Linked DNA regions of Mus musculus: region 2 is reported to be linked to region 1. Evidence: microRNA targets listed by miRTarBase, many of them from high-throughput screens and not tested one by one. Region 1 holds a microRNA gene; the other region holds the end of a gene's coding sequence.

Region 1 (4,516 bases):
CCCTTTCTTCTCTGTGACCCCATCTCCCCGCTTCCCCACACGTCCCTCCTCCATCCTTACTCCCCGGCCTTAGAACTTCCCTAAGGGAGATCTGACCTCCCTCTGCCCACCCCGCACCCCCAGTCGCCAGCCTCAGACCTAGCTGCTCTCCCCTCTGGCTGAACCACCCTAGCACAGGACCTTATACCCTGGAGCTTTGGTTATAAGAAGACTCTCCTTCACCCTTTGGAAACCAAGAAAGCCCTTCCAACAGTGTCCAGGATGCTGGAGGGCAGTGACCCTCCCCCACTTCTTCTTCGTGCTGGCTGTGCTGACACAGCTCCAGTTCGAGGTTGTGGCCCGAGACATTAAGTGAGAGCCCCGGGTGACCTGACTTAGCACCCTGATCATCACATGGGAGTGAAAGGCCTGATGCGCCAGCTTCTCCCACTGCCTCCCTTTCTGCCCTGCAACCCTGTGGAAACAGGCAGTTCTGGGTCCCACAAACATCACAGAGGTTTTGAAAGCAGAATCCTAAAGCCGATTTAAGGGGCAGAAGGAAGGAGGCTATAAAGTCACTACCCTTACCGCTAGTGTTCTGATGACCCTTGGTTCTTCTTCCCCCACCCCCGCCCAGTGGAGCCCATTGCAGCAAGGCTTAAGGAGGTCCGACTGCAGAGGGATGATTTTGAGATTTTGAAGGTGATCGGGCGTGGGGCGTTCAGCGAGGTGAGTCTTCAGTGGCCTGGGAATGGAACTTTACTTGATGTGGGTGGGGCATAACAGCTGGGGCAGAGCCTTAAAAATTGATGAATGAGCTTGAATTTAAGGCTGGAGGGGTGGGGGCGGAGCTTGTGGTCAGTGGGCGGTGTGCACGTGAGGGCGGGGCTAAGGTTGGGTGGAGATAAGGGTGGAGTCCTGTCTGGGTGAGCCTTGCTGGTTTTCCCTGCCACCTCTTGCTGTCATCTCGGTTCCGTATTTAGGTAGCGGTGGTGAAGATGAAACAGACGGGCCAAGTGTATGCCATGAAGATTATGAATAAGTGGGACATGCTGAAGAGAGGCGAGGTGAGGGCCAGGGATTAGGGCAGCGCCCTCATCTCTCCAACTCACCTCCTGTAGCTTCTCTCCTACCTCACAGGTGTCGTGCTTCCGGGAAGAAAGGGATGTATTAGTGAAAGGGGACCGGCGCTGGATCACACAGCTGCACTTTGCCTTCCAGGATGAGAACTACCTGGTAAGCTCCGGGTTCAGGTGACTAGGAAAGAGTGACAGTTACATCGCCCCAAGTCAAGAAGGCTGGAGAAGGGAGAAGCTGCTGTAGATCGGGGGGGTGGGGGTGGGGGGGACACACACAGGGGATGGGGGACGGGGGTAGGATTGTGTCTCAAGTATAGGAGAGACCTTCCTTGAGACAGGAGTGATATCTGGTTTGGCCTTTGGATGGGGCGCTCTCTCACTGTGCGGGGGTCCTCTGTGCTTGGGAACGGGGTGTCTTTGGGAGTCTTGGGGGCTACCAAACCCCTGTGACACACCCGCTCCCAGTACCTGGTCATGGAATACTACGTGGGCGGGGACCTGCTAACGCTGCTGAGCAAGTTTGGGGAGCGGATCCCCGCCGAGATGGCTCGCTTCTACCTGGCCGAGATTGTCATGGCCATAGACTCCGTGCACCGGCTGGGCTACGTGCACAGGTGGGCGTGGCGGGGCCCTTGGAGGGTTAGCAGAATTTGTGTGGGAAGGAAGGGTACCTGAAGGTCAGATCCCATTGGGGACAGAATCGGGGTCTAGAATTGTAGAATCCTGGGTGGGGTGGAAGTGGATCGAGCTGACGGGCCCTAAGAGGGAAGGTTTTCAAGAAAGCACACTTTCCCTCTTCTCTCTATGCACAGGGACATCAAACCAGATAACATTCTGCTGGACCGATGTGGGCACATTCGCCTGGCAGACTTCGGCTCCTGCCTCAAACTGCAGCCTGATGGAATGGTAAGAAGAGCCTGGCGAAACTCTCCTCATTGGTGAAGGACCGGATTAGGGGGCGGGGCTGGGTTGAGGAGCAGGAGGGGAGCTTGGTCTGGGATGTCCTGCGCACCATATTTGGACAGTCAAGGGAAAGGTTTTAAGCATTCAGGTCTGATTGGCACAGGTGAGGTCGCTGGTGGCTGTGGGCACCCCGGACTACCTGTCTCCTGAGATTCTGCAGGCCGTTGGTGGAGGGCCTGGGGCAGGCAGCTACGGGCCAGAGTGTGACTGGTGGGCACTGGGCGTGTTCGCCTATGAGATGTTCTATGGGCAGACCCCCTTCTACGCGGACTCCACAGCCGAGACATATGCCAAGATTGTGCACTACAGGGTGAGCACAAGCACCATGCAGGGGGGCTGACTTAGTGGCTTGTGCTCCCAGACTGTCTTTTTTAAAAGATATTTATTTATATGTGTGTGTTTTCTGTGTATGTATATCTGTGCACTGAGTAGGTGTGCGAAGGTCAGAGGGCATGGGATCCCCTGGAACTGGAGTCACAGACTATTGTGTGCTGCCATGCTGAGTGCTGGGAAACAGAACCTTGATCACTCTGCAAGAGCAGCCAGTGCACTGAAACGACAGAGCCAGCTCTGCAGCCCAGGGCTAACTGTTGCTTTTCTTTCTAAATAGGAACACTTGTCGCTGCCGCTGGCAGACACAGTTGTCCCCGAGGAAGCTCAGGACCTCATTCGTGGGCTGCTGTGTCCTGCTGAGATAAGGCTAGGTCGAGGTGGGGCAGGTGATTTCCAGAAACATCCTTTCTTCTTTGGCCTTGATTGGGAGGGTCTCCGAGACAGTGTACCCCCCTTTACACCAGACTTCGAGGGTGCCACGGACACATGCAATTTCGATGTGGTGGAGGACCGGCTCACTGCCATGGTGAGCGGGGGCGGGGTACGTACCTGCAGTTCCTGATCCGTTGAGGGGACTTCCCTAGCCTCTTCCATAAAATTGGGGTGATTGGCCAGGTGTGGTGGTGCATACCTTTAATCGTAGAACTTCATAGGCAGAGGCAGGTGGCTCTCTGGTAAATCAAGGCCATCTTGGTCTACATAGTGACTTCTAGGCCAGTCAGGAGTGAGATCCTCCCTTGAAAAATAAAAAAGGGGGTGTTGACCTTCCTGGGTCCCAAATTATTATCCTAGAGCACTGCTATGTATCCACTCAGGTATGAGGACACACAGGTGACCAGTCCCAAAGACAGTGAGTGAGGCCTCACTCTTGGCAGTACTAAAATTGATTGTAGGGGGCTGGGCTCTTGACCCAGCCTGGAAAGTGCTGGAGGGCTTCCTGGAGGAGGAGACTAGCTGAGCCCAGAAGGATGCAGGAGATCCTTTCTCGGGTGAGTGCTCTCAGCATTTTAACAAGCTCTAGGCCCTGCAGAGAGAAGTCTGGTGTGGGCAGAGCCCCAATAGAAAGCAACAAGATAGAAGAGAAAATGGTGGAGTTTGTTAGTGGGGGCAGTTATGCCGTGAACATAGAGGGGCGAAGGGCCATCTCGGATAACTGCTAGCCACAAGAGCCCTGTCTGTCTTCCTAGGAGACGCTGTCAGACATGCAGGAAGACATGCCCCTTGGGGTGCGCCTGCCCTTCGTGGGCTACTCCTACTGCTGCATGGCCTTCAGGTGAGCACGACTGCCCCCTGCTGGGGCCTGTGTGCAGGCCCACCACAGCCACTCAATTGAAGGCTCAGTCTTCAAACCAAGTATTCCTAGGAGCTGTCTAAGTTAGGCTTTCTGCTGCTGCGATGAACCCTGACTAAAAGCAAGCTGGGGAGGAAAAGGCTTATCGGGCTTACGTTTCCACATGGGAGCCCATCACTGAAGGAAGCCAGGACAGGAACTCACAGCGGGGCAGGAACGTGGAGCTGATGCAGAGGCAATGGAGGGGAGCTGCTTACTGACTTGATCCTTATGTCTTCCTCAGCCTGTTTCCTTGTAGAGCCCAGGACCACCAGGCCAGTGAGGGCTCCACTCACAATGGGCTGAGCTCTCATCTATGATCACTAGTTATGAAAATGCCCGATAGGCTTGCCTGCAGCTTCAGTTTTTGAGGCACTTTCCTTCCTTCCTTCCTTCCTTCCTTCCTTCCTTCCTTCCTTTCTTTCTTTCTTTCTTTCTTTCTTTCTTTCTTTCTTTCTTTCTTTCTTTCTTTCTTTCTTAGTCTTTTAGAGACAGGGTCTTTCTATGTAGCTCTGGCTGTCTTGGAATTCATTCTGTAGACCAGGCTGGTCTTATTTATTTATTTTATGTATGTGAGTCCACTATCACTGTCCTCAGACACACCAGAAGAGGGCATCAGATCCCATTACAGATGGCTGTGAGCCACCATGTGGTTGCTGGGAATTGAACTCAGGACCTCTGGAAGAGCAGCCAGTGCTCCTGCCCTGTAGAGGCATTTTCTTCATGAAGGCTGTCTCCTCTCTGATGACTTGATGACTCTAGCTTGTTGTGTCAAGTGGACATAAGACTAGGAAAGCAGCTACACATGCACTTTGTTTATTTTTGTTTTGCT
Region 2 (4,258 bases), not on the chromosome of region 1:
TCTGCTTCCCAAGGTCACCTGTCTTCCTAGTGTTTTTCTCTTTGCATCCCTCTGAGGAGGCCAGTGGCATCCAGCCAGCCATCTTCACCCCTTCTCATCTCTCCCATCCCTGCAGCCAGGCGGTCACATCGGATGCGTAGACACCACCACCATCCACACCGACATCACAAGCCTCGCAAGGAGCACAGAAAACACAAGAGACACCCAGCGGAAGACTGGGAGAAAGACGAAGGGGATTTCTGCTAAAGATCCAGGCTAATCAAGCACAAGCCCCCACACCTTCTCCAGAGTGTTTCCTTGGGGACCCAGAACCCAGCATCCACCAGAGAGGGTGGGGACACTGCAGAGCCCCACACCCCTGCGGTAGGTCCTCTGTTACTGAGGTCCTCCTGGAAGGGGTGGCTGAGCCTGAGAGGCCATGCTGGTCTGGCTGAGCCTCTAGGTCACTTCCCAGCCATTAAAGGGGGTCCTGAAGTCTGCATCCACAAGGGGCAACAGTATGTCTGTGTGTGCTGGGGAGTGGCTTTCGCACCAGAGATTCAGGCTTAGGAAACAGTGGACCATCCTGAATCTATGGTGAAGGTTTGGCTAAAGTCACTGTATCTGAGTGGAGGACCAGCAGAGCAAACATGATGGCCTGCCATCTCCTGGGATCCCCCAAGGGTGACTTCCACTCCTCTGGTTTTCTTTTTTTTTCCCCTTTCTTCTTCCTCCCTCCCAATTCCAACACCTCCAACCCCCAAACTAGGCTGGCCTCGAACTCACTATTGTAGAAAGATGTCCTTGAAGTCTCAATCCTCCTGCCTCTGCACCACCATGCCTACCTGGTTTATTTGGTGCTGGACATGGCACCTAGTACTGAGCAGGGCTCTCTCTGCTAACCAGCCCTAGTCTTTGGTCTTGGTTCAGACCACTAAATCTAGTGTGGAACTCTTATATACTGATTTTAGTGATGTCTCTTAGAGCCACTGGCCTCCTTGGCTTCCTAGGGGAGGTTACTCCGAGCGATGGGGGTGGGGAGGGCTAGTGTCTTGCTGACTCCCCAGGTCTAGTGCAGTGCTAAGATCTGGTGGTTCTGTTTTGGGTTGTTTTTGTTTTGAGACAGGGCCTCACTGTGCGGCCCTGGCTGGCCTGGAACTTGCTATATAGACCAGGCTAACCTGGAACTCAGCGAACTGTCTGCCCAGCCTTCTTTGGTTTTATTGACGTAAGATCTCCAGAGCCTAGGCTGGGTTTCAGGCCACAGCAATCATCCTTTCTCAACCACCTGAAGGTGACAGGCATACGCCGTCGTGTGTGGCAGTTTCGTGGCTTTGTGATGAAAAATCTCCCACACCCGTGTGCACAGAAGTGAGATCAGTGGAGTACAATGTGCTGGATGCTGCTGTATCCTCCCCCTCCATCTCTCAGGGAGACAGACAACCTTCTGCCTGAACCAAGATGGTGCCATGTTTTCTAACCCAGAGCCTGTCTTTTTAGCAGACCTCAATAAATCTCCTGCCTCAGATTCCATCCCTGCCCCACCCCACTTCTGTTTCCACATCCTGCCTGATGGACTTTATGCTTACAGTGTTCATGGTCCTATGGTAGAAAGAAGAATTCTCTTAGAATTAACACACACACATACACACACACACATGCATGTACACACACTAACACACCTTCTCGCCTGGTTTTACATTTTTCTTTTTCTTTTCCTTTTCCCCGTTTCCTTTTCTTTTTTCTTTTTTTTTTTTTTTTTTTTTTTTTTGAAACAGGGTTTCTCTGTGTAGCCCTGGCTGTCCTGGAACTCACTTTGTAGACCAGGCTAGCCTCGCACTCAGAAATCTGCCTGCCGCTGCCTCCCAAGAGCTGGGATTAAAGGTGTGCGCCACCACGCCCGGTTCTACATTTTTCAAAATGTGAAATAATCCACTTTGGATTCCCTCTTCCCATCTACACTCCAGAAAAGACTTCCCAAGCCAGGGACAGGGTCCCTCACAGAGCCCATGCAGTGTGGGTAGAATCTATGAATTTGTGTTAAAGCCACAGTGGAGCCTGAGCTTAGCCCTGTGGGTAAAGATGCTGCATAAGCCTGAAGAAGTCCGTTTAAGCCCTGGGACCCATGTTTTAAAAGTGAAAAGCCAGGTAGGGTGTGAACCCTGGTGCCAGCATCCCTGTGCTGAGACTATAGGAAGCTCATGAGCCAGCTAGCCTGGAGGATCACGGCAAACCCTTAAAGGGTAGCATTTGACCTCCACTGCACACTACAATGTGGGTGATTCTCCAACACACGCACAACCCTCTCCCCCCACACACACTGCACAAGCACAAAATAAATAAGTAAAAATTTCAAAAACTGTAGGATTGGGTGGGTCAGGGCAGGGATGGGTGCACAGGTTCTGGGGTCCATGCCCAGCTCTTCCTAAGTGTTTACTGAGCTGCATTGCTCACAGGAGGTAATGAAAGCCTGGGGCAGTTACTGAATAGAAGCCGTGTAAAGCCTTGTGAGATGCCCTTGAATCCTCTCAGCAGCCCACGTGGTCCTTAGTCTCCCATTTCCACTTGATTGTAAGAGAAAGACAAAGTTACAGACTACGATAGAGGAGCTAGAGCAAGAATTTCCTTCTGTGCGTTATAATTACTGTAAGTGTTGATTTTTTGGACAGGGCCTCAGTCTGGCCTTGAATTCACTCAGTAGCTGAGGATAACCTTAAAGTCCTGATCCTTCTGCCTCAGTTTCCCAAGTACTAAAACGGCAGGTATGCACTATGACTGGTGTATACAATGCTAGGGATGGAACCCAGAGATTTGTGCATACTAAGTAAATGTTCTACACCTGAGCTCCAAGTACTCTGTCAACTGAGCTCCAAGCACTCTGTCAACTGAGCTCCAAGCACTCTTATCTGTGCTTCGAACGCTACCAACTTAGTTCGATTCGCAAACCCTGGTCTTGATTTGTGCTCCAAATTTTGCTTTATGTTTAAGGGAAGAGACCTAAAATCCTTACCTGCTGTCACACACACACACACACACACACACACACACACACACACACACACACACACGAGCAGACTTGGGAAATGGTTGAGAAAAGCAAACTGGACCCTGATCCGTAAAGGTCCCTGTGACTGGGGACAAAGCTTCTTGGTAACATTTTCTAATTCAGAAGGAACCACACCAATCCCCTGCTGGGGATTGAGGGCGAGGCCTGCTGGGGCTCAGAGGTTCTTCCTAGCCCCTGAACTGCCTGCTCCATGGAGGGGCATGCTTTAGGCTTTTCTGGACTGGAGCCTCATCTCCAGCTTTCCCCCTCCCTGGTGTGTCTGCTTGGGCCAGTATGCGGGAGGAGTGTGTATGTGCGAGAATGGCTACAGGTTCTGCTGGGTTTTGTTTTGTTTTTGTTTTTCTGGGAGCTTTGATGTTCCGTGGATCTGTGCTATCTGACACTGTGGATGTTAATGGACTTATTGGACATTTTAATAAAAATTTTTTAACAGTTCAACTTGCCTGTGGCCCCCTCACCCGCCCCTCACCCGCTCACTTGCCTGCTCGTTTACTGAGAGCCTGCATTTCTTTGGAGTGATGACTCACATAGCCCAGACAGGCCCAGAATTCCCTACGCATCTGAGAAGGATCTTGAACTGATCAGTTTCCCATTTGTTTTGTTTTTGAGACAGGGTGTCTCTTTCGACCAGGCTTGCCTGAAACTCTGTGATCTATATGCCTCTGCCTATCCACTGCTGGTTTGTTTTATGGGGTGCTGGGAACTTTACGAATGCTAGGAGAGCGCTTTGTGAACTGAGATACAAACACTCCACTAAGTGAGCCACAGCCATGGGCCCTGAGCCCTTATTAGGAGCCACACACTGTGCCCGGTCAGAGGGAAAGTAGGGTACCGCAGGAGAAATAGAAGGTATCTTTTCTCTTTCTTTCTCTTTCTTTCTCTCTCTTTCTTTCTTCCTTCCTTCCTTTCTTTCTTTCTTTCTTTCTTTCTTTCTTTCTTTCTTTCTTTCTTTCTTTCTTTCTTTCTTTCTTTTTCTCTCTCTCTCCCTCCTCCCCTCTCTCTTTCTCCCTCCCTCCCCCTCCCTCCCTCCCTTCCTTCCTTCCTTCCTTCCTTCCTTCCTTCCTTCCTTCCTTCCTTCCTTCCTTCCTTCCTTTCTTCCTTTTCCTCCAGATAAGAAACAGAGCAGCATCGTACATGCCTCCTCCCAGTGCTGCAGAGGTGGAGGTAGGAGGGCTAGCCTGGGCAACAAACAAACGAACGCAGGAGAGGAAG

The links. The annotated mature microRNA mmu-miR-3100-3p reads CUGUGACACACCCGCUCCCAG and lies in region 1 at 1,503-1,523, shown strand. An mRNA with a match to its seed (bases 2 to 7 or 8) in the 3' UTR can be bound and repressed. Matches are read on the target gene's strand: a 7mer-m8 pairs with bases 2 to 8, a 7mer-A1 pairs with bases 2 to 7 and ends in A, and an 8mer does both.
Region 2: the mRNA of Ncan is a reported target of mmu-miR-3100-3p. Seed matches in the 3' UTR shown: 7mer-m8 at 2,994-3,000.

What each region holds. Positions count from the first base shown.
Region 1 is chr7:19,085,370-19,089,885 of GRCm38, forward strand. It overlaps Mir3100 (microRNA 3100), which reads left to right and starts at 1,459; the gene lies at 1,459-1,523. It overlaps Dmpk (dystrophia myotonica-protein kinase), which reads left to right. Exons shown (of 15, transcript NM_001379257.1): 2 at 617-708; 3 at 963-1,046; 4 at 1,120-1,215; 5 at 1,524-1,672; 6 at 1,871-1,964; 7 at 2,125-2,331; 8 at 2,632-2,895; 9 at 3,542-3,627.
Region 2 is chr8:70,092,308-70,096,565 of GRCm38, reverse strand. It overlaps Ncan (neurocan), which reads left to right. Exons shown (of 15, transcript NM_007789.3): 15 at 116-3,481. The coding sequence ends at 246. Among named protein-coding and RNA genes, the nearest start is that of Mir7066, 8.1 kb to the left of the region's middle.